Linked DNA regions of Macaca mulatta. The protein of the gene in region 6 interacts with the protein of the main gene of each other region in a biochemical or structural test. Links are inferred from orthologs where the notes say so. Each region holds a gene or a part of one and is shown on either strand. Other genes may lie near its edges. The genes, in order: RASD2, STUB1, PHB1, PEBP4, RB1, RAF1 and RHEB.

What was found.
Region 1: the proteins of RAF1 (region 6) and RASD2 form a complex in vitro, tested with the Homo sapiens proteins (2 studies listed by BioGRID). The link is inferred for Macaca mulatta from reciprocal best matches to the Homo sapiens genes RAF1 and RASD2.
Region 2: of the proteins of RAF1 (region 6) and STUB1, one has a biochemical effect on the other in vitro, tested with the Homo sapiens proteins (4 studies listed by BioGRID, with this or other methods). The link is inferred for Macaca mulatta from reciprocal best matches to the Homo sapiens genes RAF1 and STUB1.
Region 3: the proteins of RAF1 (region 6) and PHB1 form a complex in vitro, tested with the Homo sapiens proteins (2 studies listed by BioGRID). The link is inferred for Macaca mulatta from reciprocal best matches to the Homo sapiens genes RAF1 and PHB1.
Region 4: the proteins of RAF1 (region 6) and PEBP4 form a complex in vitro, tested with the Homo sapiens proteins (2 studies listed by BioGRID). The link is inferred for Macaca mulatta from reciprocal best matches to the Homo sapiens genes RAF1 and PEBP4.
Region 5: the proteins of RAF1 (region 6) and RB1 form a complex in vitro, tested with the Homo sapiens proteins (3 studies listed by BioGRID, with this or other methods). The link is inferred for Macaca mulatta from reciprocal best matches to the Homo sapiens genes RAF1 and RB1.
Region 7: the proteins of RAF1 (region 6) and RHEB form a complex in vitro, tested with the Homo sapiens proteins (3 studies listed by BioGRID and IntAct). The link is inferred for Macaca mulatta from reciprocal best matches to the Homo sapiens genes RAF1 and RHEB.

What each region holds. Positions count from the first base shown.
Region 1 is NC_133415.1:15,988,604-15,991,941, forward strand, and holds the end of RASD2 (GTP-binding protein Rhes), read right to left. Parts: intron 3,200-3,338; coding exon 2,670-3,199; 3' UTR 756-2,669; downstream 1-755. UniProt on the Homo sapiens protein: GTPase signaling protein that binds to and hydrolyzes GTP. Regulates signaling pathways involving G-proteins-coupled receptor and heterotrimeric proteins such as GNB1, GNB2 and GNB3.
Region 2 is NC_133425.1:1,895,093-1,899,701, forward strand, and holds the start of STUB1 (E3 ubiquitin-protein ligase CHIP), read left to right. Parts: upstream 1-1,469; coding exon 1,470-1,628; intron 1,629-2,016; exon of another isoform or gene 2,017-2,105; coding exon 2,106-2,304; intron 2,305-2,391; coding exon 2,392-2,557; intron 2,558-2,749; coding exon 2,750-2,837; intron 2,838-2,976; coding exon 2,977-3,033; intron 3,034-3,120; coding exon 3,121-3,237; coding exon of another isoform or gene 3,238-3,318; coding exon 3,319-3,444; 3' UTR 3,445-3,751; coding exon of another isoform or gene 3,752-3,832; intron 3,833-3,907; 3' UTR 3,908-3,910; coding exon of another isoform or gene 3,911-4,045; intron 4,046-4,124; coding exon of another isoform or gene 4,125-4,192; intron 4,193-4,278; 3' UTR 4,279-4,279; coding exon of another isoform or gene 4,280-4,399; intron 4,400-4,487; coding exon of another isoform or gene 4,488-4,556; intron 4,557-4,609. Other genes in the region: uncharacterized protein LOC106994901, read right to left, coding at 2-162, 243-377, 626-823, 939-1,063, 1,105-1,471. UniProt on the Homo sapiens protein: E3 ubiquitin-protein ligase which targets misfolded chaperone substrates towards proteasomal degradation.
Region 3 is NC_133421.1:60,600,344-60,604,302, forward strand, and holds part of PHB1 (prohibitin 1), read left to right. Parts: intron 1-1,570; coding exon 1,571-1,666; intron 1,667-3,184; coding exon 3,185-3,397; 3' UTR 3,398-3,959.
Region 4 is NC_133413.1:24,591,300-24,595,258, reverse strand, and holds part of PEBP4 (phosphatidylethanolamine-binding protein 4), read left to right. Parts: intron 1-2,759; exon of another isoform or gene 2,760-3,173; 5' UTR 3,174-3,229; intron 3,230-3,331; 5' UTR 3,332-3,337; coding exon 3,338-3,468; intron 3,469-3,959. UniProt on the Homo sapiens protein: Promotes AKT phosphorylation, suggesting a possible role in the PI3K-AKT signaling pathway.
Region 5 is NC_133422.1:27,657,622-27,661,580, reverse strand, and holds part of RB1 (retinoblastoma-associated protein), read right to left. Parts: intron 3,021-3,959; coding exon 2,907-3,020; intron 2,814-2,906; coding exon 2,650-2,813; intron 1,037-2,649; exon of another isoform or gene 905-1,036; intron 724-904; coding exon 693-723; intron 1-692. UniProt on the Homo sapiens protein: Tumor suppressor that is a key regulator of the G1/S transition of the cell cycle. The hypophosphorylated form binds transcription regulators of the E2F family, preventing transcription of E2F-responsive genes.
Region 6 is NC_133407.1:151,432,193-151,436,151, reverse strand, and holds part of RAF1 (RAF proto-oncogene serine/threonine-protein kinase), read left to right. Parts: intron 1-2,668; coding exon 2,669-2,781; intron 2,782-3,959. UniProt on the Homo sapiens protein: Serine/threonine-protein kinase that acts as a regulatory link between the membrane-associated Ras GTPases and the MAPK/ERK cascade, and this critical regulatory link functions as a switch determining cell fate decisions including proliferation, differentiation, apoptosis, survival and oncogenic transformation.
Region 7 is NC_133408.1:190,896,374-190,900,332, forward strand, and holds part of RHEB (GTP-binding protein Rheb), read right to left. Parts: intron 1,904-3,959; coding exon 1,847-1,903; intron 1,730-1,846; coding exon 1,682-1,729; intron 925-1,681; coding exon 843-924; intron 1-842. UniProt on the Homo sapiens protein: Small GTPase that acts as an allosteric activator of the canonical mTORC1 complex, an evolutionarily conserved central nutrient sensor that stimulates anabolic reactions and macromolecule biosynthesis to promote cellular biomass generation and growth.

The DNA.
Region 1 (3,338 bases), on a different chromosome or scaffold from region 6:
CTTTCTCCTTTCCCTCTGCCCAGGGAAACCTCTCAGTCCCGGGGGCACGTTCGGTGTCGGTCAGGACCCAGACCTTCTCCCTCAGCCTCCACTTGCCATCCTCACCTACATCCTGTCTCACTTCACAGGAGGGCTCATGCTGTGAGCCCCGTGTCTACTGGGTTCCGTCCAGAATGCAGTCCAACAAATCCACCACACGCAGGTGGGGGCCGTGTCCTGGCCCCCGGGGTTGAGTCTAAGTGAGGCTGCCCACGCTCGGTATTTGAGGCCAGATAATTCTCAGTGCGGTGGGGGTGGAGGGGCAGCCTGTGCACTGGAGGATACTGAACGGTGTTCCTGGCCTCCACCCACCAGGTGAGAGCAGCAGCCCTAGCCCCAGGCTTGGAAAAGGTTTCCAGAGATTGCCAACTGTGCCCTGGAGGTGAAATTGCTGCTGTACAGGAACCATGAAGAACTAAGACACAGAGAACCTCCTGGAGCTAATGGTCCACAGGGGCCCCTCCTGTGTGGACACAGACACCTCGGTACACAAACCTGGAGGACCCAGGAGGACCAAGCTGAAGGAGAGCATCACCTTCCATCTGGGGGTCTTATCCCCCTCCCCCGACACTTAAACTTGAAGGTGGACTCAGTGCTGACCCTCAGGGCCAGGGCTCTCAGCAGGTGCATTTTGGGCGGGAAAGGCCAGCTTTGATCGGGGAGGGGGCACACCTCCTCTTGGAAACACGAAAAATACACATGGGCAAGGACACGGCTTTGTAACAAACTCACTTTTATTGATAGTGTACACGGAGATCCATGGCAGCGGGGCTGTGCCTGGGAGACAGCAGGCCACACACTGGTGCAGCCAAGGTGCCTGGTCTGCTCAGAGGGCTCAGGCGCGGGGTGGGGAAGAGGACAGAGGCGGGGTTGGAGCTGCTGCGTTCAGCACAGACGCAGGCAGGGGCCAAGGCTGAGATGCAGGTGCAGGTATGCAGAGCTGGGGCTGGAGCATGTGTACATCTGTGTGTACATCTGTGTGTACTTGTATATACATTGGCATGGGGTACACAATATCTACAGGGACCCTCACAGACTGATCTAGGGAGAGGGTTGAGGACAAGATGTCCCAAAGCCCTGAAGGCCCCAGGGGCCAAGCATCAAGAGAGGGGGCACATCGTGGTAGGTACCGAATGCCCAGCACTAGCTTGCTTCTGCCACCCACAGACTTGCTGTGTGACCTGGGGGAAGTTACTAACCCTCTCTGGACCTCAGAAAGACCCATTATATGATCACTAAGGTTCCTTAGGGCCCGAAAACTTCCATATGTTTAGAGAGATTAAAATACAAAATATACTTGTTAAGAGCTGATGACAAGGGCCTTTGGTTTATGGGTTCAAACCCACCATGCCTGAGTACATGGTTGGACCCAGCATAGCCCAATCCCGGGCACAAGGAGAAGACCTGCCCTGAGCTTTTCTGTTGGACCCCTCCCAGGCTCAGTTCTGGGTCCCAGCTGCTCCTCCCTGCCTCCCCACCGCTGTGTGTGCAGAAGGTGGTGGGGCAGCAGGGGCCAGGGCTGGGGACCCTCTTGGTTTCCTAGGACACAGTGAACCCAGCACCCAGTAGGTGCTTAATAAATGCTTGAGGAATGAGTACAGTAGAGGACAGCCTGGTTCTAGGTGGAGCTGTACCCTGAACTTGCTAGGGGACAGGGTTGTGGCTTGGGGCTCATCATGTCCCCTCCGAGTCTCAGTGGTATCCTCTGTGAAATGGGAGCATTAAAAAAAGCAGCCCTGGCCTGTCCACCCCACGCTTGTGCAATTGTCTGTAAACCGTGGAGTTCAATGGCGGAGGTCAATGTCTAGGTGCAGACAGGCCATGGAAACCCTGTTTGGGAATAGAGGAGGAAGGCATCCCCAGAGGAGGCCGTGGATCTGAACTGGGTGAGGGCCTGGCCAAGAAGGGAGTCACTAGGCTTTTACAGTACAATGATTTCCATTTCTACTGCTATACATGACATGAAAACAGCTGCAACCACAACAAAGCACAACTGTCGGGCGGAGGGACCTGGGAGAGGAGGCTGAGGAACGTGGTCTAGGGGTGAGCGTGGTCTAGGAGGCGTGGCCACGCCCCCTTCAAACACACAGACGCCACTGGCTCAATGTCAGGGGCAGCTGGGGGCTAACTTGTGTGTGTGCTGGGGGTGGGAGGGGGTGCAGAGGCAGCTAACCCAGAGGGTAGGAGTTGCAGGGCTGGGAGAGAAGTTCTCCCAGCCGCCACCCAAACCAAGCTGGGTGTTATGCCAGGAGAGAGGAGACCTTTCTCATCTGGCCTTCCGTGTCCTTTGCATCCTGAGACTTGTCCCAGGAGGCTCCATATGACGCAGCAATCCTCACCCCTCTGGGATCAACATTCCTTCCAACCCCAGGAGAGGAAGGTGTGAGGCTGCAGAGATGTGTCCTCCCACAGAGGAGCTGAAACCACCAAGGAGCTGTGGACAAGGGGACTCAGGAAAGCTGTGAGAAGGCAGACGGATGTGCGGAGGCCAGCGCCCGGGGGCCTCCAGTCTGTGCCTAAGGTCTGTGAACAAGACTGCTGCGGGGGCTTCGGTGGGGGGATGCGCACAGCGGGCATCTGGGGCCACCTCCCTGAAGGCACTGGCCAAGCCCCGCCCCAGCATCCCTCGCTCACTGGATGGTGCACTTGTCCCTCTCGCGGGCCTGGCCTTCTCGAAGGACCTTGGCCTTGATGTACTTGAGGTCACTGTTGACGCTGGGGCGGCGGGCGAAGGGCGAGACCATGCCATAGGCGTCCATCTCCTTGACGCGGCGCATGCAGAAGGGCCTGGGGTGGAAGGCGTCACCGTACTGCACGGAGATCTTGCGATGCAGGGCGGGGCTCATCTCGTGCGGCAGCTTGGCCATGCTGAAGAGCACGTAGAACATCTCGTCCACATTGGTGTTCTTCTTGGCCGACACCTCAAAGTAGGCGCAGTTCTCGTCGCCGGACACCAGCAGCTCGGCCTCGGTGGTGGGCACCTGGCGGCAAAGCTCGCCGTGGTCGTTCTTGTTGCCACAGATGACCATGGGCAGCTCTGCCGCCTCCTTGGTCTTGTTCTTCAGGCAGGACTTGACCTCTAGGATCTGCTTCTGGAGGCGCTTGACCTCATCGAAGGACTCCCGGTTATCCAGGCTGAACACCAGGATGAAGACATCCCCTGCAGGGAGAGAGCCCAGGCAGTGAGTTCACCGGCCAGCTGTGACGCCTGCCCTCCTCTGGCCACAGAACACCAGTCCTAACAGCTGGGAGTCACAGGTGCCCTGAAGCAGTTATGCGGCGTAACTGACTTAACCTAC
Region 2 (4,609 bases), on a different chromosome or scaffold from region 6:
CCTGAGGGTGTACTGTGGGGCCGGCAGGCCGGGCACTGTGACCACTGCCTCATCTGACATGAAGGCCTCCATCTCGAGCTCCAGGCACCAGGACTGCTGTGAGCAGCGAGGAGAAGCAGCCAGACACCCCATCAGGACAAGCTCTGGCTCCGACTCCTGGTCCTAGAGACACACAAGGGCCCAGACTGTCTGCTTCACAGACAAGGACGCTTATGTACCCAAGTCGTGCCCACCCAACTCACCTGAGGCTGTGACTGTGGTGGGTCCACACCGCAGAGGGCAGACAGCTGGGTGACCGCGGCGCCCACATCTGGCAGGAGGCAGAAGGTGGTGGTCGAACAGTGCACAGCCAGCTCAGGGGGATTGGTGGTCACCAGCTGCTGTGAGAAGCCAGGTCAGGGTGCCCGGGGTGGTGGACCCACAGGGAGGCCCCGCCCCCACGAAGACCCGCTCTGGAGGCCCCGCCCCGCCGATGCCACGCCCCGGTGAAGACCCGCCCTACGGAGGCCCCGCCCTCGAGGCGGGCCGCCCCTCGCCGCCAGCTTCCAGGCCAGCAGCCGCTCCAGCTCCCTGTCACATGCTCTCCGCTCTGCCCCTGATGGCCGCTGGCAACTCCTCCCGATACCTGGGGAAGGGCGGTGAGGGGAGGTCCGGCCACAGGGGGCGCTCGCCCACCGATCCCTTTATCCCCTTCCACTCTACCAACGGCCCAGGGCTTCCAGCCGCACTCGGGGGTCCGCGCGCGCCCGTAGGACCTCTCGATGGCGCTCCGGAATGGCGGCCCAGCGACTGGGGTCCTTACACCCAACAGCGCGGGAAGCCACTATGTTCACGCGGAGGGGCGGGGCCGGCTGCCGGGGGCGGGGCTTCTGGGTAGGGGCTGGCTGCTGGGGGCGGGGCCTCTGGGTGGGGCGGCCTGTTGGGGGCGGGGCGTCTGCCGATGGGGCGGGCTGCTGGGGGCGGGGCTGGCTGCCGGGGGAAGGGCCTCTGGATGGGGCCCGCTGCTTGGGGAGGGGTCTCTGCGCGTTGCGGCGGGGGCGGAACGCCAGGTGGTCGGGACAGGCTGTTGGGGGAGTGCGCCCTCAGCGAACCAAGGCATCTCACTGGGAAAGTCGAATGTGTGTGGCGGTCGCCGCCGAGGCCGGTTCCGAAGAGGCCTCAGCAGGGCGGGCCAGGGCCTCCGCGAACGCCGACCCTTAAGAGCGCCGAGCGAGGGAACCGGAGTGTTCCTCCCAGCCCCCGACGCCGCGGGCCTAGCGTCCCCGTCCAGGCTGATTGGGCGCACGCGCGGCCCCACTCGCCCCCACCCGTGCGTCCCCGCTGGTCCCGCCCCCGGCCGGAAGTTCCGGCGGTGGAGCTGGGCCGGGCCCGAGAGGATCGCGGGTTCGGGCTGCGGGGCTCGGGCTGCAGGCGCTGGGCCGCCAGGCGCGGAGCTTGGGAGCGCAGCCCAGGCCGTGCCGCGCGGCGCCATGAAGGGCAAGGAGGAGAAGGAGGGCGGCGCGCGGCTGGGCGCTGGCGGCGGAAGCCCCGAGAAGAGCCCGAGTGCGCAGGAGCTCAAGGAGCAGGGCAACCGTCTGTTCGTGGGCCGAAAGTACCCGGAGGCGGCGGCCTGCTACGGCCGCGCGATCGTGAGTGCGCTCGCGCGGGAAGGGCGGCGGCGGCGGCGGCGGCGGCGCCGGGGAGGGCCGGGCCCGTGCCCGGCTGGCCCCACCGAGGGTCTGGTTCCTCTGCGGGGCATGTCCTGGGCTCCTAAAGCCCAGCCGTGGTTCCCGAGCCCAGCGCCGGGTGTCGGAGAACGAGGGTGGGATGCTGGATGGAGGCCGGCCGGGTCGGGGGGAGGGCAGGGGCCCTCGCCCCTTGAGGATCCCAGGTCCAAAGCCTGGACTCTCCAAAGATTTGGAAAACTTTACAAAACCAAGTGGAGTCAAGCGGATAGGCTCAGCCAGTACTCCACTGTCTGCAGATCCTTGGATCCAGGGGCTTTGACGACTGAGAAGCCTAGTTTCTTGATTCTAGCCAGAGCGCAGAAGCTGGGACGGGCCGTGGGACAGAGGGGGCGCGCTGAGCCTACACCCTCATGCGGCTGGCCCGGCCTTGGTCCCTAGACCCGGAACCCGCTGGTGGCCGTATATTACACCAACCGTGCCCTGTGCTACCTGAAGATGCAGCAGCACGAGCAGGCCCTGGCCGACTGCCGGCGCGCCCTGGAACTGGACGGGCAGTCTGTGAAGGCGCACTTCTTCCTGGGGCAGTGCCAGCTGGAGATGGAGAGCTATGATGAGGCCATCGCCAATCTGCAGCGAGGTTGGCTGACAAGCTGCCCGGTTGTGGGGCCCCTGGGGCCAGGCGGGTGGACTGGCCAGAGAGTGACCTGAAGCCCCCGTTCCCCAGCTTACAGCCTGGCCAAGGAGCAGCGGCTGAACTTCGGGGACGACATCCCCAGCGCTCTTCGAATCGCGAAGAAGAAGCGCTGGAATAGCATCGAGGAGCGGCGCATCCACCAGGAGAGCGAGCTGCACTCCTACCTCTCCAGGCTCATTGCCGCGGAGCGTGAGAGGTGGGACCCTCACCCCAGGTCGCCCTGTCTTGGGATAATTCTGAATCACCAACTACCAACATGAGCGTTTATTGAAGGTTTCACTGGCGAGCAGAAAACGTGGGGAAGAAGCATGAATGTTAGCCCTGAGGTTGGGGTGTGGTCAGACATCTGGCCAGGTCCATCTCTTACTGGCTCCTGGTCAACCCCCAGGGAGCTGGAAGAGTGCCAGCGGAACCACGAGGGTGATGAGGACGACAGCCACGTCCGGGCCCAGCAGGCCTGCATTGAGGCTAAGCATGTGAGGGTGCCCCCCTCCCACATGTGGGTCTGTGTGTGTGCACCTGGCGTGGGAGCATCCCCGCCTTGTGTTGGGTCTGTGCCCCATGGAGGAGGGAGGTGGGGTGTCCCGCACAAGTGCAGTGCTCAACTCTTCACAGGACAAGTACATGGCAGACATGGACGAGCTCTTCTCTCAGGTGGACGAGAAGAGGAAGGTGAGTGTCTGTCACTTGCTGCGGTGGGTGGCAGGTGCTGGAGCAGTGCCCCTTCCCAGCCTCTGATCGTGTGCCCCTGTGCCACAGAAGCGTGACATCCCCGACTACCTGTGTGGTAAGATCAGCTTTGAGCTGATGCGGGAGCCGTGCATCACGCCCAGTGGCATCACCTACGACCGCAAGGACATCGAGGAGCACCTGCAGGTGAGGCTGCGGCTGGGGGAGCAGGGCCAGCAGCATGGTCCTGGGCCCACTGACTGCCCTCTGCCCTTCTTGTCACTGCAGCGCGTGGGTCATTTTGACCCCGTGACCCGGAGCCCCCTGACCCAGGAACAGCTCATCCCCAACCTGGCCATGAAGGAAGTCATTGACGCATTCATCTCTGAGAATGGCTGGGTGGAGGACTACTGAGATGCCTTGCCCTGCCCAGCATCCTGGTCCAGGAGAGCCCTGGGCGGAAGCCCTCCACCCCTGTACATAGTTTGTGTTGCTGGCCACCCTGGCCCCTTCCAAGTTCAAGTTCTGCTGTTGGGCTCTGGACTATTCCCCCTCTCAGCATAGCTCTTGCTGGGCCGTGATTGTCCTCCTTTGTGGGCTGGAAAAGCAGGTGAGGGTGGGCTGGGCTGAAGCCACTGCCGCCACTGTCTGTGTAATAAAATCCATGAGCACGAGATGGGACGTGCTGGTGTGTGGCAGGCATGCCTGCCAGCTGCTTTGGCTAGCCGAGGAAGGTGGAGATGAAGACGCTGGTGTCAAGGTTGAGTGTGGCATGCCACCAGCGGTCAGGGAAGTACAGCACCTGGTGGAGAAAAGGGGTGCAGCACAGATTAGCTGGGGGCCTCTGGCCTGGCCTGGCCCTCTCCTGCCAGCCACTGACCTCACCAGCCCGGATGGTACACTCCAGGGGCCGTGCAGACGGTGGCAGGGCTGGATATGTGTCCCGGAGCCAGGCCAGCGTGGTCTTGTTGGGGTGGAACTCTGGTGTCTTCTCAGGTGGGTAGAGGAACCAGCGCTGGGGGCAGGAGCAGCAGCGTCACCCTTGCCTGTTTTGGTCACCGAGCCCCAAAGCTCAACCCCAACCCTGTGCTGACCTTACGGCCGTAGATCACCTCCGAGTACCCGGGCCCATGCCAGTGGAAGGGCACCCCCGAGCCAGCTCCTGTGGGGTTATGAGCACCTGGTGACCAAGCCATTTTGTACCCACCCTCAGAAACCTCACTCCTCCCCAGTCCTGAGCAGCGTTCACCTGCGATTCCAAAGCTGTAAGCTGGAGCGGTTCCCAGCAGGCCAAATGGGGGTGGGGAGTAGTGCCGAAAGAGAGAGGCCCACTCGGTGAAGTTGTTGTCCCCGAAGAAGTACAGGGTGTCTGCCAGTAGAGACGGTGGGGGCAGGGATCCTGGCACCTGGAAACTCCAGGCGTCCCCACCCCCTACCGCCACCTAGGGCTGACTCACCATTGCCCAGGGAGGTGGGGTCCTGGGGGTGCAGCAGCTGCTCCACATACTCCTGGAACGGCAAGTCCACTGCAGGAGAGGGACGGGTCAGGACCGGCTGGTCCAGCCGTCCCGGTGCTGGC
Region 3 (3,959 bases), on a different chromosome or scaffold from region 6:
GGTTGAGGAGGGTGAGGGGAAGGGTCGTGTTTCTAGATTCTCTGGGAAAAATCATTTGGAGTGATTTGTTCGGGCAGTGAGGTAAAGTGCTTCCTGTTCAGTTCTCCCGTGCATCGCTAGGGAAAGGCACCGCTTCCCCCAGCATCTGTGCAGCTGTTTAAACAGCCACTGGACAACAGCCAGTGTTAACCCCGGGGCACTGCTCCACCTTGCTCCGCCTGCTGGAACCCCCGGGGGCTTGGGGCTCCCTCTGCTGGCAAGAGGCCAGGCTGCAGCCGTTCTGCAGGCCCTCCCCTGGTAATTACCGTGAACCTGAACACCTTGGCTGTGAGAAAACGCTGCGTAAAAACCTAAGGGAAAAGTTGGCATTTTACTAGACTTTAACCACATACTCCATTCTGGGGAAATGTGGGCTGACCACAGGAAACCCTGTCTAAGAGGTGTGAGAAGAAAATTAGGTTTCATGGGGAATTCGCTGCCCTCAGCTGGCCCTTTTAGAAATAAATTTTATTCCTTAATTATACATTTCATTTTTCATTTCTCAGGATCAGATTTTCTTACCCAAACTTTGACTGAGAGACTAGAAATGGATCAGGCGAAGTACGACAGCTGCAGTTAGAGTTCGGAGCTTAAACATTCTGGGAGAGAATGAGACCAGGATTTACTCGTCAGGAGCAGTTCGGGGCTGCTTTTTTAAAAGCAGAGGCTGGGAGAGCGGAGGAAGTGAAACAACTAGAATCTGATGGCAAAACCAATGCTCTCCTCTTGATTCTTTTTCAGTAAAAAGTAGGATGAATAAGTAAATTGCTCTAGGCTGGGCATTAGGAATGCTGAGGTCCCTTCCCATTGTTTGTGCTATGGTTAGGAACAGTCACGTCAGACCTGACATGATTAGGGAAGGTCTATGGATCATCAGACTTCTAAACCCTCAGCCCGACCAATGACTTTACCTGCTTTCTCTTTCTTTTAAACCCTTTAACAGAACCATTCACATTGGGAATAGCATGATTTGCGTTCTACCACCCCTCGTCCTCTTCCTGTTCAGTGGTGGAGCTGCTGTGGGAAGAAGTGGACTGGTTAATCCATAAGCAGAGAGCATCAGGCTCTTGGATCCTTGGGAACCAGCAGCCTCCCTCACTCTCAGGGGCCCCGTTTTGCATCTGGCCTTCCTTGGGCTTTGAACAAGGCATCAAAGGCGCTTGGAAGAGCACTAGTCAGTGGCGGGGGTCTTAGAACCCACAGTTCTCCTCTGGGGAGGTGGTCGATTGAATAGATACCTTCTGGTGCCCATGGGCCCCATCAAAAGCCCCAGGCGCCATTTGCTACATGAGGTCACTCGCTGCACTGAGAGTGACAGAGTAGTGTACAGGAGCAGTTGGGCAGCCAGAGATGCTGGGTGTAAACTCAGTTTGGATACAGATACAGAGATGGAAGAGTGTTCTGGCCTCACAGATGCCTCCAGCTGCTAGAGCCATTGCTGGCCTCTTCCTTCCAGCGGCCGTGGAGGCGTCCCAGCAGTGCTGTCTAAGCAATCACACTGCCTCATCTTGTGCTCACTCTCTCCCCTTAGACACATCTGACCTTCGGGAAGGAGTTCACAGAAGCGGTGGAAGCCAAACAGGTGGCTCAGCAGGAAGCAGAGAGGGCCAGATTTGTGGTGGAAAAGGTGAGCATTCAACCAGATGGCAGGAGCCTCTCTCCCCTTTCTCCTGCACTTAGCTTCCCCATTTGCTGGGTGGCCTGGAAATTCATCATCTGTCATCCCTTCTTCCGGGATAATCGGAAGGGGCTTGAAGGAATTGTACTTCTGCAATTGGTTCCAGAGTCTTCGGGGGCTAGTCAAGGATATGTGGAGTTATGTTCCAAAATCACCGAAGGGTAATTTTTCTTCCACTTCTCTGAGATCAAAAACACTCTCTTACAAATGAAAATGTTTCTCCTGGAGTATTTTCAGCTTCACTGAGAAGTCATTTTTAACCATACTTACATAGTGAAAGCTGACAGCAAAAAAGATCAAACGTTGCACCAGATGTGCTTTCGTCACTGGATTTTTTTCTAGTGCTAAATCCATCCAGATGTGTCAAAGAATGCGATGGGACGCAGTGTATTTGCGTAGCAGCCTGTTCTTTCTGGTATTTGCAAAGACATGTTTATTGTTGTCCCCCTCTTCCCACCACCAGTATCCCTAATTGGTGGGGAGATGGGGGCAGCAAGAAATAAAATGGGAAAAGAGGAATAGATTTAATTTTGGAGAATGAAAACACTGTGTGGGCAGGGACTTGCGTTGCTTTGTATCTTCCATAACTTCAGAGATTATAACAAGTCTAGTATAGTGCCTGGCGATAGTAGGTATACAGTAAATGTTTGTTAAGCAAATAGACGCAGGGCCCAGCCATTTCAAAATTGTATGTAATTTCAGGGAGGCTTAATACTGTCCTCTTCCTCACACTCCTGAAGGTCACACATTTCAGAGAACTGTCTTCCTCTTAATATTGGTAGGGCAGGCCTAGGAGGTCTCACTGTGGGTGCCTGGATTCTGGTCAGGAATCAGCCTAGCCCACAGGCAGCTCTAGGAACAGTCACAAGTGCATGCTGCTCTTCCTTAGCCATCCTGAGGTTTTTTGTTCGTGACAGCGGCTCCCTCTGTGGCCCAGGCTGGAATGCAATGGCATGATCATAGCTCACTGCAGCCTTGACCTCCTGGCTCAAGTGATCCTCCTGCCTCCGCCTCCCAAAGTGCCAGGATTACAGGCATGAGCCACCACACCTGGCCCTGTCCTGGCTTTGATGAAGTCCTTTAGACTTGGGGCTGGAAGGAAAGATGAGCCTTGAGGGTTGATTCCATTTTTCTTTTGCTTCTGTTTTCCTTGGCCTTGGATCCTCCTGGCTCAGAGTAGAGTTGTTAAGCTAGATTGCAATTAATATTAATGAGGACTTTGAAATAAGACAAATATTCATGCAACCAACAGAAATGTATCTCTCCCGTGACGAGTGAGCATGAAAGGGAAGGGGAGGACTGGTGGGCTGTGTGCTCTGCCTCCCCCCACCATCAGGAGGAGGTAAACTCCCCAAGTTCCTACAGGAGCCTGGGAAGGTGGCTTTCTGGTGAAGGGCCTTTGGTTGTAGCCTGACATGCGGTGCCCTGAGGTTTGGTCTTAGTCTGTCTCCACCTCCATTCTTTTAGGCTGAGCAGCAAAAAAAGGCAGCCATCATCTCTGCTGAGGGTGACTCCAAGGCGGCTGAGCTGATTGCCAACTCACTGGCCACTGCAGGGGATGGCCTGATCGAGCTGCGCAAGCTGGAAGCCGCGGAGGACATCGCATACCAGCTCTCACGTTCTCGGAACATCACCTACCTGCCAGCGGGGCAGTCTGTGCTCCTCCAGCTGCCCCAGTGAGGGCCCACCCTGCCTGCACCTCCGCGGGCTGACTGGGCCACAGCCCCGATGATTCTTAACACCGCCTTCCTTCTATCCCCACCCCAGAAATCACTGTGAAATTTCATGATTGGCTTAAAGTGAAGGAAATAAAGGTAAAATCACTTCAGATCTCTAATTAGTCTATCAAATGAAACTTTCATTCTTCTCACATCCATCTACTTTTTTATCCACCTCCCTACCAAAAATTGCCAAGTGCCTATGCAAACCAGCTTTAGGTCCCAATTCGGGGCCTGCTGGAGCTCCGGCCTGGGCACCAGCATTTGGCAGCACACAGGCGGGGCAGTGTGTGATGGACTGGGGAGCACAGGTGTCTGCCTGGGTCCACGTGTGGCCTCTGTCCTGTTGCTGATGGAAGATTTGCGGATGAGGGCACATGTGGCTGAACTGAGAAGGCGGCAGGCCTCCGTCTTCCCAGCGGTTCCTGCGCAGATGCCGCTGGAGAGAGGTGCCGGGGAGGGGCAGAGAGGAAGTGCTCTGTCTGTTACCATAAGGCTGATTCTCTTTAACTGTGCGACCAGCG
Region 4 (3,959 bases), on a different chromosome or scaffold from region 6:
CAGTGGTTCAACAGATCCCAGTAGCTGGAGGGACCAATGTGTCTCTGGAAGCCACAGGTTTGGCTTGAATGGTGGTGTCTGGAGGTGGTCCCAGCCCAGGTAACTGAAGGAAGAGAGGGGGACTTCAAGGGTGGGCACCAAGAAATCTAGCAATGGGACTTTCCAGGGTGAGAGAATTAAGCAAAACCAGATGGTGATGGGGAGGGAGAATGGTCACTCCTCAAGCTTGAACACAGCTTTCAGATCTTAGGTTTCAAATATGAATCAAAGTCCTGAAAATCCCCAAGAGAAAGATCGGGTTTGAAAATCCCAAGAACCACTGCATTCTGCCAGATCTCTCTGCACAAAAACAAGCCACAGAAGGTTAGATAAATAAGCAAAAGGCATCCAGGGCTAAGGGCCAACCTGAGTGATTAGTTTCCTACTGATGTTTACACGGAGTTGTGAGCTGTTAAGTGAAAATAAGGATGATCAGAAACGGACGTGGCGTGTGTTATGCATTTAAACAAGAATTTTATTAAACCTCTATATACTCCATGTAAGGTGCTCAGAATGCTGGACAGTCTCCGTGCTGCCTCCCAGAAGCTTATAGGCTGGGTGATTGAGGGAGAAACTATCACTAAGCAAATAACTACAAAATAATTTATTACAACTATATAAGAATAATGAAGAAAGCAGTAAGGTGCTCTGATTGTTTATAAAAGGAATCTGATGGATGCTAGGGGTGAAAGCAAGTTTCTCTCAGGAAATGGCATTTCAGCTACCCCCCTAATGAAGGTGGGAAGTGGGGTCGGTGCCTATCACAGCCCTGGGATAGAAAGGAGCTTGAGGAACCTGCCAGAGGTAACATGTGAGAGGAGGAGGAAGTCGGCTAGAGAGACAGGAAAAGCCTGATTTCGCAGGGCATTGTGGTCCACGTGGAGGACTCCGGGGTCCTTCTCCCAAGAACAAAGGGAATGTAGAGGGAGTGAGTAAGAGGCACTGGAGCAGCTACAGAGTTCAGTGGAGCCAGGTGGTTAAGAGCGTGGACTCTGGGCTGGGTGTGGTGGCTCATGCCTGTAATCCCAGCACTTTGGGAGCACGGAGGTGGATCACTTGAGCCTGGGAGTTCAAGACCAGCCTGGGCAACAATGCAAGACCCTGTCTCTAAAAAAAATACAAAAATTAGCCAGAGCCGTGGTGTGCCTGTAGTCCCAGCCACTTGAGAGGCTGTGGCAGGAGAATCCCTTGAAGCCCAGAAGGTGGAAGTTGCAGGAGCCGACATCACCCCATTGCACTCCAGCCTGGGCGATGAGAGTGAGACCCTGTCTCAAAAAAAAAAAGCATGGACTCAATGGACTCAACCCAGTTTCAACAGGTTCAACCAGAGCCTGGGGTTTAAATTCCAGGTCTGCCACTTCTTGGTGACCAAGGCCAGGTTTTAGCTAATGTCACTGTGCCATCTCCTCCTCCATAAGATGGGGTGATAATAGTGCCTATTTCCAAGGATTGGCATGAGGATTTGGAGACAAAAGTGCCTGGCACGTGGAGTAAGGAAGAACTGCCACTGGAAGTGGGCTCAACAGCAGCAACCTGCACTGTGGGCTCTCCCTGCCTCCAGGCTGCCATCACTGTGCTAAAAGAGTTGACACCCAGGAAAGTTGAGGCTTCTCTAGTGGATGCCATTTGTAAGATGAGTTTCTTGGTCTTGGGCAGCCCTTCTGGCAGCATCTCCTTGACTGTGGCTGTCCTGTGAGCTGTATACAGACAAGGCCATGCTCAACCTATACCCCAGGGCCTAACATGGGGCAGGCACATGGGAGGTGCTTAATGCCTATAAGTGAAGTGGGTTGCAAAGGAATGAATGAATGGATGGATCTGTGAGAGAATACTTACACTATTCATAAATTATTGAGCATTTACTATGTTCCAGGCTCCTTACTGAGGGCTTAACCTGGTTGATTTCATTCTCACAATGATCTTGTGAGGAGGCTACTATTCGACTCTTTCCAGTAGGGGAGATCTTGGGAATACGTTTTTTGGTTGGGGGCAAGGGGAGTCCTGGTTGTATTTCAGGGAGCTTAATGATAGAGAAATGTGTTTAATATGTAGCCCCAAAGGGGGGCTTTTTGCTACAGGTTGGGATCCTGGAGGCAGGAATTAAACCAGAAAGCAGACTATGCTAAAAGTAGTTTCTCTAAAGATCTAGCTGCGTGTACTTTACAGCAATGATCTCATATTCCTTAGCAAGGCACCACAGTGACAGCAATTATTTAACTTGTTTGTGAAAAGGAAAAGTGGTGTGTTCTAGGGAGACGCAGTGGCCTCCCCAGCATCCAGAGAGAGCTCAGAGCAGAAGCCAGGAGTCCTGAGTTGCTGGCATGTCTCTCCCACCCCCGCCTCTGAGAAGCAGAGAGCAGAGAGCAGAGCTATTGGAAAGGCTGTGGCAAGCCGCCTTTGTTCTTCTCCTTGCCCACTCAGGCTCTAACCAGAGTCCCACATGCACCTGGTGGCAGGACTGTTCCCTAAGGGAATGCGGGCAACAGTCCCTGGCTCCCCTTCTTCCCGGTGCAGCGCTGGGGCAGACCACCGCTTTCTGAGCCCCAAGCAGCTCCCCAGACCTCCTTCTCCAGAGATGATTATTTTGGGAGAGTGCTGAGTTCAGCACAGCTGCAAGGTGCAGCCAGACGCACCCTTCTGTCCTCAGCTGGCCCTTTGGAGCTGGCTTTGGGCTAGGGTGCGCCTGCCCAAGCCCAAGTCCCTGCAGCAGTCCCTCCTACACAGGGTTACTGTGTCCAAGCACCTCCACCTTGGGGAAGCTCACAGGCTGTGGAGACAGGTGGAAGAATGGGGGCTAGGAGAGGCAGAGCCGGTCTGAGGGGCACAGCCCAACTCCTAGCCCTGAGCCTGGGGTCACCAGCTTCCCAGGGCTTGCCTTACAGCCAAGGGGCAGGCTGGCCTTCGGCCAGCTGACCATCCCCAGGCCAAGAGCAGGGAGTGGACGAGGAGCTGAACTGAGAAGCTTATATAAGCACTTCTACTTTGCAGCCTGCTGTCTGCCCTGGCAGCCAGGACAAGAGTGACAACAAAGCTGTGTCCTGCCAGGGGGAGGGGCCTCTGCCAGGAATGTACATTGAGTCCAACTTGGAGGAGGCCCAGGTCCTCCCAAAGTGCTTGTGTCCGGGTGGTGGACTGGATTAGCCGCGGAGCCCTGAAAGTTGCCTGCCTTTCTCCCTGTGCTTAACCAGAGGTCTCTCTCCTGCCAAGTGGGCCCCTGGGGTGGGGGGCACAGGTATTTGGCAGGAAATGCCCTGCAGGGGATCCAGCTGCTCTAAAGCTCCTTCTGTTCCAGGTGCCCATGGGTTGGACAATGAGGCTGGTCACAGCAGCCCTGTTACTGGGTCTCGTGATGGTGATCACTGGAGACGAGGATGAGAACAATCCGTGTGCCCAAGAAGCCCTCTTGGACGAGGACGCCCTTGTGTGCCAGTAAGTCAGGGCAGGCTTGGAGGCGGGAGGCACAGAGGCTGCCAGGCAGGTGGATCGCAGGGAGGGGTATTTCCAAAACCAAGGAGCACCATCTCCTGAGCCTGATTTTATGGGGAAGACAGAACACACGTCAGGTCTGGAGACCACCTTGATGGAGGATGGCGCTGAGAAAGGGACTTAGAAACAGACTCCTTCCTGCCTTCCAGAATGCACCTCTCCCAGGACCAGGAGGGCTGTGTATATGGTTGGCTCTGCTTGGGCCCTCCAAACCTGGGGGGTCTTGGCGGAGGCAGGAGGCTGAGACCCTCAGAGAGAGACCCAGAGAGAGAGACCATCCCTCCCTATAGCCTGAATGCCCCCTCTCCACAGAACCCCGACCAAGAGGCGTTTTAATGAAAGAAGGTGTGTGATTAGACCCTTCCTGTGTGAGAGGTGTTTTTCAACGATGGGACCTAGGAGTGTTTGTGCAGGGGCCCTTTAGGGATCATGGC
Region 5 (3,959 bases), on a different chromosome or scaffold from region 6:
CTAGGGACTCTTCTGGACCTCACCCTATATAATACTTCTTCATCTGGCTGTTCATTTGTATCTTTTATGATGAACTGATAATAGTAAGTAAAATATTTTCCAGAGTTTTGTGAGTAGTTCTGGCAATGGATCAAACCTGTAAGGAAGAGGCACTACTGGAACCCCCCAACTTTGTATCCAAGTCAGAAGGAAGTATGGTGTAGCCTGGGGACCTGACGCTTGTGACTGGTGTCTGCAGTGAGACCAGTTTTGTGGGACTGAGCCTTGAACCTGTGGAGTCTGATGCTGACTCTGAGTAATTAGTGTCAGAATCGAATTGAATTGTAGAACACCAGAGAGTTGAAGATTTGTGTGAGAAAAAAATCTTACACATTTGGTGACAGAAGTGTTATGAGCAAAAACAGCTCACGTATATATGTATGTATATACACAAATGTATATATGTATTATATAACCTCAAATGAATATTTAGAAAAGTTTTGAAGTTCACCAATTAGGAGTATGATTTGAGATTAGGAGTATTTTATATATATATATATATATATATATATATAAAAAAAATAAATTTCTATGCAATATGCCTGGATGAGGTGTTTGAATAATTACATTTAGAAACTCGAATTATTGAAAGCTTTAATTTCTTTTATACTTACAATGCATACTATTATATTTCATAGAAAGAAAATACTCACCCCAAATGATTCACCAATTGATACTAAGATTCTGTCAAGTTAAGATGAAATGCCAATTAGTAATAAAAAATCATATACAATTTTGCAGAGACGAGCATAGATACATCATTCTGAACTATTAGGAATACTAAATTAAAGGTTACCTCTACCCTAGAACTACTGACAAACTATATTCATTTGGGAATTATTGTAACAGTGCCCATTTAATCATATACTCACCTAGTCTCTTAGTTTTACAGCAAAAGTTATAAGTCTGCAAGAACATATTCTGCTATTGCCCATATTTAGGGAGGGCAAAGGAAAGTTTCAAGTTTACCCCTACTGAGTTCTTCGTAAATCAATGGGTAAGTTATCAAATTTCTTTCATATTTTCTCATTTAAAATTCAAGTAATATTTGGAAAAAACTTACAATATTAAGTAATAATCAGAATTCTAATTAGCCTCTATATTGATATAGTAAAGGCTATCATATATCATATATGGAGTCAGAAATCTTTATTAGTCTGTCTTTATTTGAACCATATAATTTATGTTCTTGATAATAAATCTGAAGAACATCATTAGACTGACATGACTCAACAAAGATTTGAAAACATGAACACGGAACTAGTGAATATAGAGAATTTTTTGTCCTCTAATTCCTTGATAAGTGGCCATCATTCTACATATAATATTTGATTAACCAGAACACCTAAATGTACCAGGTAGTGTTAAGATGCTCTCCTAATGCCTGGTCAATGATTTATTAGTTAGGATGTTCAGAATGTGACTTTCTTGCTAAAGAATACCAACACAGAATTTATTTCACTAAGGATCAGCAAGTAGCCATCATTATCACCATAATATGGACTAATTATCACTATTAAAGAAAACTACCTAAGTATACATTTTCATATAGTGGCATGGAACAATGTAAATTTTCTTAAATAGACATGACGTGGCATCTTAGCAGCTTAGAACAAGTAGTAGGTATCAGTACACAGATATCCAACTACAAGAACACCAAATAAATAAAGGATGATACAGAGGCACATGAGAGCATTTGTATCATATTGCCAATTATTTCTCACTTCATATTTTTCTGTAGAGTTTGAAATTTTTATAATGAGTACGTACTACTTAAATAATTAAATATACCATGCAAATGTTTTCTGAAAGGCCAACATATTCCCCTTTTCTTGCCCATTAGGTACAACCATATGGGCTGATAATTTCTGAGATGAGACTACATTAACTATACTAGCTAATCTGCCTCCTACTTTACACAAATAAAGTCAGTTTCAAATAGCCCGTGATAACATATAATTAGTCAATTGAAGCACTTCAAAGCCAGAGAGCACTTGTGGTTGGATGTGGAAGATAATATAATGATTTGTAGTTGCACACAACCTTTCATCTGAGCATTTAAAACAGCTTCATACTCATCATTTCCCTGATCCACAGCACCCTTGTGAAGTACAGATAGAGACCTGCCCAAGGTAAAGTGGTAAAGTGGCCGCCAGCAGGATTAGGGATGGACCTCTAAAGACTTAATTGACAGTAATCTACATTTAATATAACAAGCAAAATGAACAAAATCCACAGGAAGCAAAATTTACAGGACATCCAATAAACTACAAACTAAAAGTACTCAACCTAAAGTAACCTGCTTTGTTTAGCAGATTGGCTACTTAGAAAAATATGAAAGTGTTTTGAAACATATAACCAAACTGGTTCTCAAATTGTTTACAAAAGAAGATACCCTAACAGTCAGGAAATCTGATAAGTAAATGTGTAAACTCATCCAAGTAAATAGATTTTCTTTCTCTCCATATTCTTATTATGTTACTTAAATAAGCAAATAGAGTTTCAAGAGTCTAGCTTATTTGAAATGAAGAAAGCTTTATATTTTTTATTCTTGGATCAAAATAATCGCCCTCTCATTCTTTACTACTTCCATAAAGAGAAAACACACACCTTGATCTTGGAGTCATTTTCGTTGGTGTTGGCAGACCTTCTGAAATTTTATATGGACTCTTCAGGGGTGAAATATAGATGTTCCCTCCAGGAATCCGTAAGGGCGAACTAGGAAACTTGTAAGGACTTCGAGGAATGTGAGGTATTGGTGACAAGGTAGGGGGCTAGAGCAAAAACAGAAAAGTAGACCATTTATTTAATGTTTTGGTGGACCCATTACATTAGATTTTTCCAGTCAAAGGATACTTTCGACCTACCCTGGTGGAAGCATACTGCAAAATATTTGTTTTCAGTCTCTGCATGAAGACCGAGTTATAGAATACTATAATAGAATCATACTCCTCTTCTTTGATCAAAACACGTTTGAATGTCTGAGAAAGAACAGTAGAAAAAAAAAAAAGTAAAATTTACTTGTTAAATGAATTTTAAAATTTCTACCTTTAGATTTTCTTTTCTAATAGTTTATAATACTTTTTGACTGATAAGAAGCACATATTATAAAAGAAAAAAATAATCTAAAATTACTTCTTAGGCTTGGATTATAGCTGCTCTCCGAGAAGTGAAATGTCACAGAATGATTGAGAGAAATAGCCAGGCAGCAGCAGATGGAATAGCTGGCCATCTAAGAAGACAGGAGTAGACAGGCTAGTAGAATGGAAAGCATGATCAAAGGGAATCAAAGGGCCAGAGCTGAGCGAAAGCCAATAACATTATGTATCAATATTTGGACTACATTCTCTGGCCTGTACCTCCTGGTATTCCCCCCAATCTATAAGGGTTTAAGTATGCATTACTCAATTGCAAGAAGTAGACATTTAGTAAAGGCACTATATTTTAGTGATAGATTTCACTCAAATTTTAGGTAAAAACACAGAGGTTATATCAGATGCCTCTGATATATACAATTAAAATGATTGAATTTAGAAAATAACTTCAAACATACAAACAAAAATGACTTGGTTTGTATTACTTTTGAAAACTCCAATAATAAATGGGAAAAATATCCCACAACTCACTTTCCACAAAACAATATGAAATATGTCATACCAAGTATATTTTACTACTACTATTTCTCTAAAGGGAAGGTAAACCAGAAACACAAAATGTGTTTATACTGAACATTTTTATTATTTATTTGCAAGGCTGCATTTATATTGGCTTTTCCTATAAACTAATACAAATAACTTCAAAGAATATCTAATGTTCTATGACTCATGTCAAGTTTATTACAAATACCTGCCTATTACAGGGATAAAGTATTACTTGTTAACTTTATTAAAAAATATGGATATGGATAATTTCATTATTTG
Region 6 (3,959 bases):
TTTTATACACACACACACACACACAACACCCGCACGTAGACAGAATAATAAATCTGATGTACAACTTACCCACTTTCAACACTTAGCTAACCATGGCAGTCCTGCTTAATCTGTGTTTTCATCCACTCCTTTCCCGATGTTTTGACACAAATCCCGGATATCATTTGTCTGAACTATTTTGGTATGTACAAGGAACTTTTAAAGAATGCTAATTTTATTTATTTTTAAATAGGTAAAGCATTCATATGAGCCAGAAGTCTTGAGTGACCCCTGCCCCTATATCCCCATTTCTTTTCCTTAGAGGTTTCCTATGATCAATCTTCTATCTATTTGAAGAATCAGTTGGTTTCCCCTTACCCTGTTGTTCATGACCTTTGCTTTCTTCCACATCTCTGAAAGAGAGGAAAAACCATCGGTAGCTAAGGAGGCTGTCACAAACTCCAAAGGAACTTTTTTCATTTGGAAAATCTTTTCCTTTCTCCCAGATGATTGATCCTCCCGGAAAATATTCCTCCCCCACTCCCATCACCTTCTGAGCTAATCTGTTACAAGTTCAAATTCTTCTACACTGTACTCTGAATGTGGAGTCCATCTTTGGGCCTCAAATAATGATTACTGGGCAGATAAGTCCCCATCAGTCCCTGGTGATAGCAAAATAAAGCCTTGTGAAAAACTTCTTACGTTGCCCCTGTCTGATATTTTTCAAATTCTTTAGGCTCACATGCATTTCCTTCTTTCCTAGATTGTTTTCTCTGCTTTGCATCCAAATACTATACCCTGGTTTGGAGCCTGGTAACTAGGAGGGCCCAGATACCTATGTCCTGTTTCTTAAGACTTTTTTCTGTTGTAAACCAGCTGGAGAAGGTTGGCTGGATTGGCACTGAGGTGCCTGGAGTAAGAGCCAAGATTAAGAACACTTTGGGCCTTTTGGAGCCCTGCTTTGCTTCCTTTCCCCTCCCCATGTATTTGCATAGGTAAATATATGCATACACTCACCACCTTCTGGGGAAGGGGTTGGCTGGCTGCTGTAAGCTGTTAACACTTTCAGAGGAGGAACTTTGCTGTAAGAAGTTAACAAGCACTGCAAATGTATGTTTTGCCCTCCTTGCTGGCCATACTGACTCTAGTTACTTTACTTTTGATTAACTCTTGGCTTTGAAGTTAACACATGGAGGACTTTTATTAAAACTCTGAAATTTTAGTTCAAATTTTTTTACAGCTGCCATTAATTGTGAGTGTCCTGGGCACTCACACTTCCCAATAGGGTTCTGAGTACCTGCCTAGCTTTTTGAGGGTTGAGTACAGGGAAATATAGAGAAGTATGTGCCACTAAGGCTGCTTGGTATGGTATGCACATATATTTAAACTAAGATTGGTGTTTGTCCCTACAGCAGGGCTGGAGTTCTGTATCTTCCACTTCCTGCTTTGCCTTCACTAGTGTTAAGTACTTGTGAGATGGAATTTTTGTTAGAATGATTAGTCATTTTTGTTGAAATAAGTTGAAGTACAAATTTTGATCATAAAAACTCATGTTTGTTTGTAGAGCAGATTGGCTTATTTCCTCTTTAATGAATCTAATGAACATACATGTGTATACATCTAATCACACAAAATTAGAGACATGTAAAGGAAAAGTTTATCATTTTCTCTGTCTTTTTTTTTTTTTTTTGAGACGGAGTCTCGCTCTGTCGCCCAAGCTGGAGTGCAGTGGCCGGATCTCAGCTCACAGCAAGCTCCGCCTCCCGGGTTCACGCCATTCTCCTGCCTCAGCCTCCTGAGTAACTGGGACTACAGGCGCCCGCCACCTTGCCTGGCTAGTTTTTTGTATTTTTTAGTAGAGACGGGGTTTCACCATGTTAGCCAGGATGGTCTGGATCTCCTGACCTCGTGATCCACCCATCTCGGCCTCCCAAAGTACTGGGATTACATGCTTGAGCCACCGCACCCGGCCGTCATTTTCTCTTTCTTAACCACTATCTCTTGATGTGAACAGCTAAGTATAAATCTTTCCGCACTCATATAGCATACAAATTTCTTCACCTTTTTTTTTTTTTGAGACAGAGTCTCACTCTTGTCATCCAGGCTGGAGTGCAATGGCGTGATCTCAGCTCACTGCATCCTCTCCCTCCTGGGTTCCAGCAATTCTCCTGCCTCAGCCTCATGAATAGCTGAGATTACAGGTGTCCACCACCATGCCTGGCTAATTTTTGTATTTTTAGTAGAGACGGGGTCACTATGTTGGCCAGGCTGGTCTCGAACTCCTGACCTCAGGTGATCCACCTGCCTTGGGCTTCCCAAAGTGCTGAGATTACAGGTGTGAGCCACCGTGCCTGGCCTCTTCATCTTTAAAATAATCTTACTCTATTATTCTGAAGGATATTTTCCCCCAATTAATATATCATGGACTCCTCTCCATCCAGGTCATTATAAGTAATATAATAGCTGCATAATGTGACATAATACAGATGTCTCACACTTCATTCAAGTACTTACCTATTGCTGTACATTCAGGTTGTTTCATATATGTGTGTGTGCGCGTGTGCCATCACAAGCAATGCTGTCATAAATTTGCCTGCACCTTTATAGACTGGTGCATTTATTTCTGTGCCCACCTTTCCAAGGGGTGCTGCAGCCTATGTTGGTCCTAAAGGTGATCCTTTGTTTGTAGGTCAATGTACGAAATGGAATGAGCTTGCATGACTGCCTTATGAAAGCACTCAAGGTGAGGGGCCTTCAACCAGAGTGCTGTGCAGTGTTCAGACTTCTCCATGAACACAAAGGGTAAGAGCTCAAAAGTCAATTGACTTCTTCAGACTAGTAAGGATCTTCTAGCTTCAAATAGCTATGTTTGTATTAAATTGTACTAGCTTCCTATAGAATATTGTTTATTTCTATGCCTTTCTTTATAAAGAGATAATTCAGAAAAATAGGTATTAAGAAATTGAAATTATTGCTTGGACATTCTCTTGAAAAGTCCAATACCTGTAATTTTAACACTTTGGGAAACTGAGGCAAGAGTGTTGCTTGAGGCCAGGAGTTCAAGACCAGCGTGGGCACATAGTGAAGGCCCATCTCTACAAAAAAATTTTAAAAACTAGCCAGGCATGGTGGTGCGGCCCTGTAATCCTAGCTGTTCGAAATGTTAAGGTGAGAAGATTGCTTGAGGCTGCAATGAGTCATGATTGTGCCACTGGACTCCAGCCTGGGCTGGAGCAAGATCCTATCTATTAAAAACAAAAAAGAAACAAACAAAAAAAAAACATATGTTAGGTATTGATAATGTTTCCATGGATGGAAACGGTAATGTTAGATGCTATGTTTTTTGAGGCAAAGATTTTTCTTTGTGTTTACTGTGTTTACTGTAATGCATTATATAGACTGGGCACTCAGAAAGTGCATTATTATATATATAAAGAATGCTATCCTCGGGAGATTGACTTTTCTCATTCACTAATTTTTTTTTTTTTGGTTCAGTTAAATGTGTCCTAATCCCTGCTGTTTAATAGATTGTTTAAAGATGCAGAAGCATTTCTGCTTCAGGGAAGATTCATAGTTTATCCTATTCTTAATGGTGGTGACAAGATAGAGGCATCCCCTCAAAGGCTAGGAGTAATACCTCAAAGCAGCAGAGCTGTCTGTAATTATCCATTATCCACTATTCCCTCCACCCCCAAAATATAGGGAAACCTTTAAAGGGTTCTTTTTTTACCCTCTTCTTGGAAAGGGTCAATTACATTATTCATCTTTAGCTTACATTTTTTCATGTTTCAAAGAGTTCTCCAGTTTGAGAGAATAGCCCAGGGAATGAATCTACTCAAAGGGGTGAGTGTAATTCTCAATTTAGGAGGCGTTTGTTGAAGTGCAAATCTTTGAAGCAGATGTTAACTTTTGCTGAATGTAGCCCAGGTTGGGTCCCTAAGCCAATCCATAGTGGTCCTTAAGGACTAGAGAGATTCTGA
Region 7 (3,959 bases), on a different chromosome or scaffold from region 6:
TGATGTATTTAAGGAATGGAGCAGTTTGATGTGATTGAAAGTACAAGAATGTGGTGAGAGAAGAAACTAGAAAAGAACAAATCACTGACTGCACTCAGGACCAGGCGAAGGTTCTACGGAGAAAGGGCAGTTCACTGACAGTTTGAGTAGAGGACGGTACCATCAGATGTATGTCTTTAGAAAGTTAAGGGCAGCAAAGAGGAACATATAGATGAAAAATGCACTGGGGGCGGGAGACAAGTTTGGTGCCGGGGGTCTAAATTAAAGCAATGGAAGAAAAAGGTTCATACAGGATTGTGAAGCCTCCTGAAGCAGAATCTACATACTTCCCAGAACATGCCTTTAAAGGTACATCTACAGGGTGAAATTGGTACTAAATGCTTAAAAGATGGTTCTTAATCATTTCTATGTTAAAAATTAACACATACGTCTGACCCGGTTTCATCTAACAGAAAAAAAAGCCAGGGGGTAGGTACAGTTAAAAATTAGTGCTAATGATATAATTCTTTTTTTTTTTTTTTTTGCTGCATGGACTTATTTCTGTATCAGTTATTAATACAAAACAAAAATACATGTTTACAAAAGGTAGTATTTCCCTTACTAATAGTTTATGTTTATCCTACAAATATCCTAGGTTCCACTGTAAGTAGAATATTGACTGAATTTATAAACACCTAAGTAGTATCTTCCTAAAGCAACACAAAGCTTGGTATTACAAATGTTCTGGAAGGCCAAATGTTACACAGGAGTGATCAAGACAGAGGTCAAATGCCAACTGCAAGGAACACATCCCTGTGACTGATGAGAACGCAATGCAAAACGAGGTTTATAGAATCTGTTACCTGATTTTCTTTAGCAGAAGATTCCAAAAAAGCTGCATTCCAAGATTCTGCCAAAGCTTTCCCTTCTTCATAACTGATCACCCTAAAGGACAAATAAAATTCTGGTTAAAGTACTTTGCTCTTCATTATATAAAATATCTATAATTGATTTTGAAACAGGCTCCATTTTGGTCAATTTCTTTCTCATGAAGCAGAACCATGCCCTGGCCTAACATTAGCATCGAGAATGTAACACAGGAGTGTTTCAATTACGCCTGAGCTGGGGAACAGAATAGACATTGCCTTACGGGATTATCCCTGCTCCAGCAAACCTTCCAGCTCAGAGAACATGATCCTATTTTCCAGTACTCCCGTATCTGTAACAATTGACTATTTTACAGCTAGGTTTTAAGCACCCAAGGCCAGGGGAAATTGTGAAAGGGCCTGAAAGCTCAATTCTCTTGCGTGCAGGCTGTAGAGTCTCTTACTCTCTGACATGAAGCTGCCTGGGCAGGGGACATCTGCCTCCTTTGCTCCCCACTGTAATCCCAAACCCTGGTACTCAAAAACCACTTGCTGCATCAATGAGCACTACGTCTTTTTAGAATTTGCTCTATGCAAGGTGGTAGATAACCTAAAGGTAGTTTTCTATAAAGTTTGCTCTCTCTTTTCTAGAGGAATGTGAGATTTCTATTGCACTTTTGCTTCTGCTGCACACGACCATAACATCTCTGAACAGATAAGAAATGCCACAGCTAAAAATATTCTTGATATCAGAACAATAATTAAAATGACACTACAGTGACTAAATCATCTTAGACTTGACTTTAGAAATTACTAATGATTTAAAAGCTACATACCTTTCCATATGCAGGTCTTTCTTATTCCCAACCAACATAATAGGTATTCTATTTAAAAGAAAAACAAAATAAAACAAAACAAAATAGTCAGTGCCAGATTGTACTGCTCAGAAGATACTATTATAAGAAGTTTCTCTAACAAACAGATAAAATGGTACTACTTACTGTACTTTCCCCACCATATCCAATAATTTCCCATGGATAACTTTAATCACTTCAAAACTATAAAACAAAAAGTATAAATTAGACATTCATTTTAATGTTGAAGTTTTTAAAGGTATGTTATGTTGACAGCTGGAAAATGCAAAATGTCACGGACTCACCATTTTAACATAAACTGAACACAAAGAAGTCTTGTTTTTTCCTAGCAATCCATTCACATGTGCACACATCTGACACTCAGTAACCCTGACTGAGGATATTCAAAGTGAAACAGGTAAGGCATTCAAATGGAAAGCCTACCACTGGGCTGACAAACCACATAAATGCAATTTTTAATCACCCAACTTACTCAGCAAAGAACCAACTGTTTACATTACAACTTGAACAGCTTTTCCTAGAGTGCCCTAGTGCACTCAGCCTGTTCCTGTTTTCTTTCCTAGGTACATACATTCTCTGGGTGATGCCAATCTCTCTTGGCTTTCAATCAGATCAATAAGCCGATGACTCTAGGTTGAAGGTGGCTCTCACTGGGAAGGGCATCTGAGATGTCACAATGATCACTCGAAATCTGCCATAGTAGGATTATTTATACCATTGAATGCTGACAAACAGCCACAAACCATTTCCCACCCTCCCCCAAAAAACCCATGCGAACATTTGCCAGCACATCTCTGGCTCTACGTTCAAATCCTACCTAGAATCTGATGGCTTCTCACTCCCCGCCACAGCTGCCACCGAGGTGTGAAATTCCTGGCCCAAGACTGCCTGCATCACAGCTACAGCCCCAACCCTTCCCTGCCACCCCTGCTCAGCACAGCAACCAGAGGACTCGGCTGCAGCAGATGGACAATGTCTCGCCCAACGTCCTCTGATAGGCGGCCATCTCTACTCGGCCCCAGTTACTCTCAAACCCTGACTTCTGCCTCCATTCCCGTCTGCCCCCTCTTCTGTTTTGTCTGAGCTGCACTGGCCTCCTGACATTCCTTTAACACCGCCAGAGCCTCTGAAGTCACTCCCCGTGTGCCTGGTATGTTCCTTCCCTAGGGATCCCTTGCTTCAAGTCTTTCCTCAAATGTCACTTTTTTTTTCTTTTTTTTTGAGATGGAGTCTTGCTCTGTCACCCAGGTTGGAGTGTAGTGGCACGAAACTCAGGTCACTGCAACCTCCGCCTCCTGGATTCAAGTAATTCTCCTGCCTCAGCCTCCTGAGCAGCTGGGACTACAGGTGCCCGCCACCACGCCCAGCTAATTTTTGTATTTTTAGTAGAGACAGGGTTTCACCATGTTGGCCAGGCTGGTCTCAAACTTCTGACCTCGTGATCCGCCTGCCTTGGCCTCCCAAAGTGTGGGATTACAGGCGTGAGCCACCGTGCCCAGTCTCAAATGTCACTTCTTACACCTCTTCTGTTTATCCTAAATTACAAATTCCCTGTCTATTTCTTACCCCTTCTGTACTTCATTTTTCTTGGCAGCATGGTCACAGACATCCTATCTCACATGTGTGTCGTTTTACTGTTTGTCTCCCACACCAGAAATAAGTTCCACAAGGGCAGGGATTTGTCTGCTCTGTTCATGGTTGCATCACAAGCTTCGGAGCAAGTTAGCTTGTTGAATGAATTACACACTGTGCTATTTTAAACCACATGTGCTGTCACTTTGATAAAAACAAAAATGAAATTTAACCCCCCTACAAGCTCGCTGTGGGTCAACAATGGGATATGGGTGTCCTAAGGACCTGCGGTTACATTACAGAACCACGTTTTCCTCCGCATGCTATATTTGCCTACATTTAAAAGTGTCGCCACTTGGGCAAAAATACAGTACCCTGTCACGTGAGAAACGGCTGAAAGAACTGGGACTGTGTGGCAGGCAGCTTGGAGCCAGCTCCCAGAGCTCATGCTCTCCTAGGGGCCACACTGTGTGTCATCTCCCTGCATGGACATAACGACGTGCATCTAATGAACAGAATATGGCAAAGGTGACGGGATGTCCCTTTTGAAGTCAGATGGGACTGCAGCCCCTGCTGACACTCACCCTGCGGCTGCAAGAGACTGAAGTAGAGGACACAGCTAGGACACGCCCAAATTCCTGATCCACAAATCTGTGAGATCGTAGAT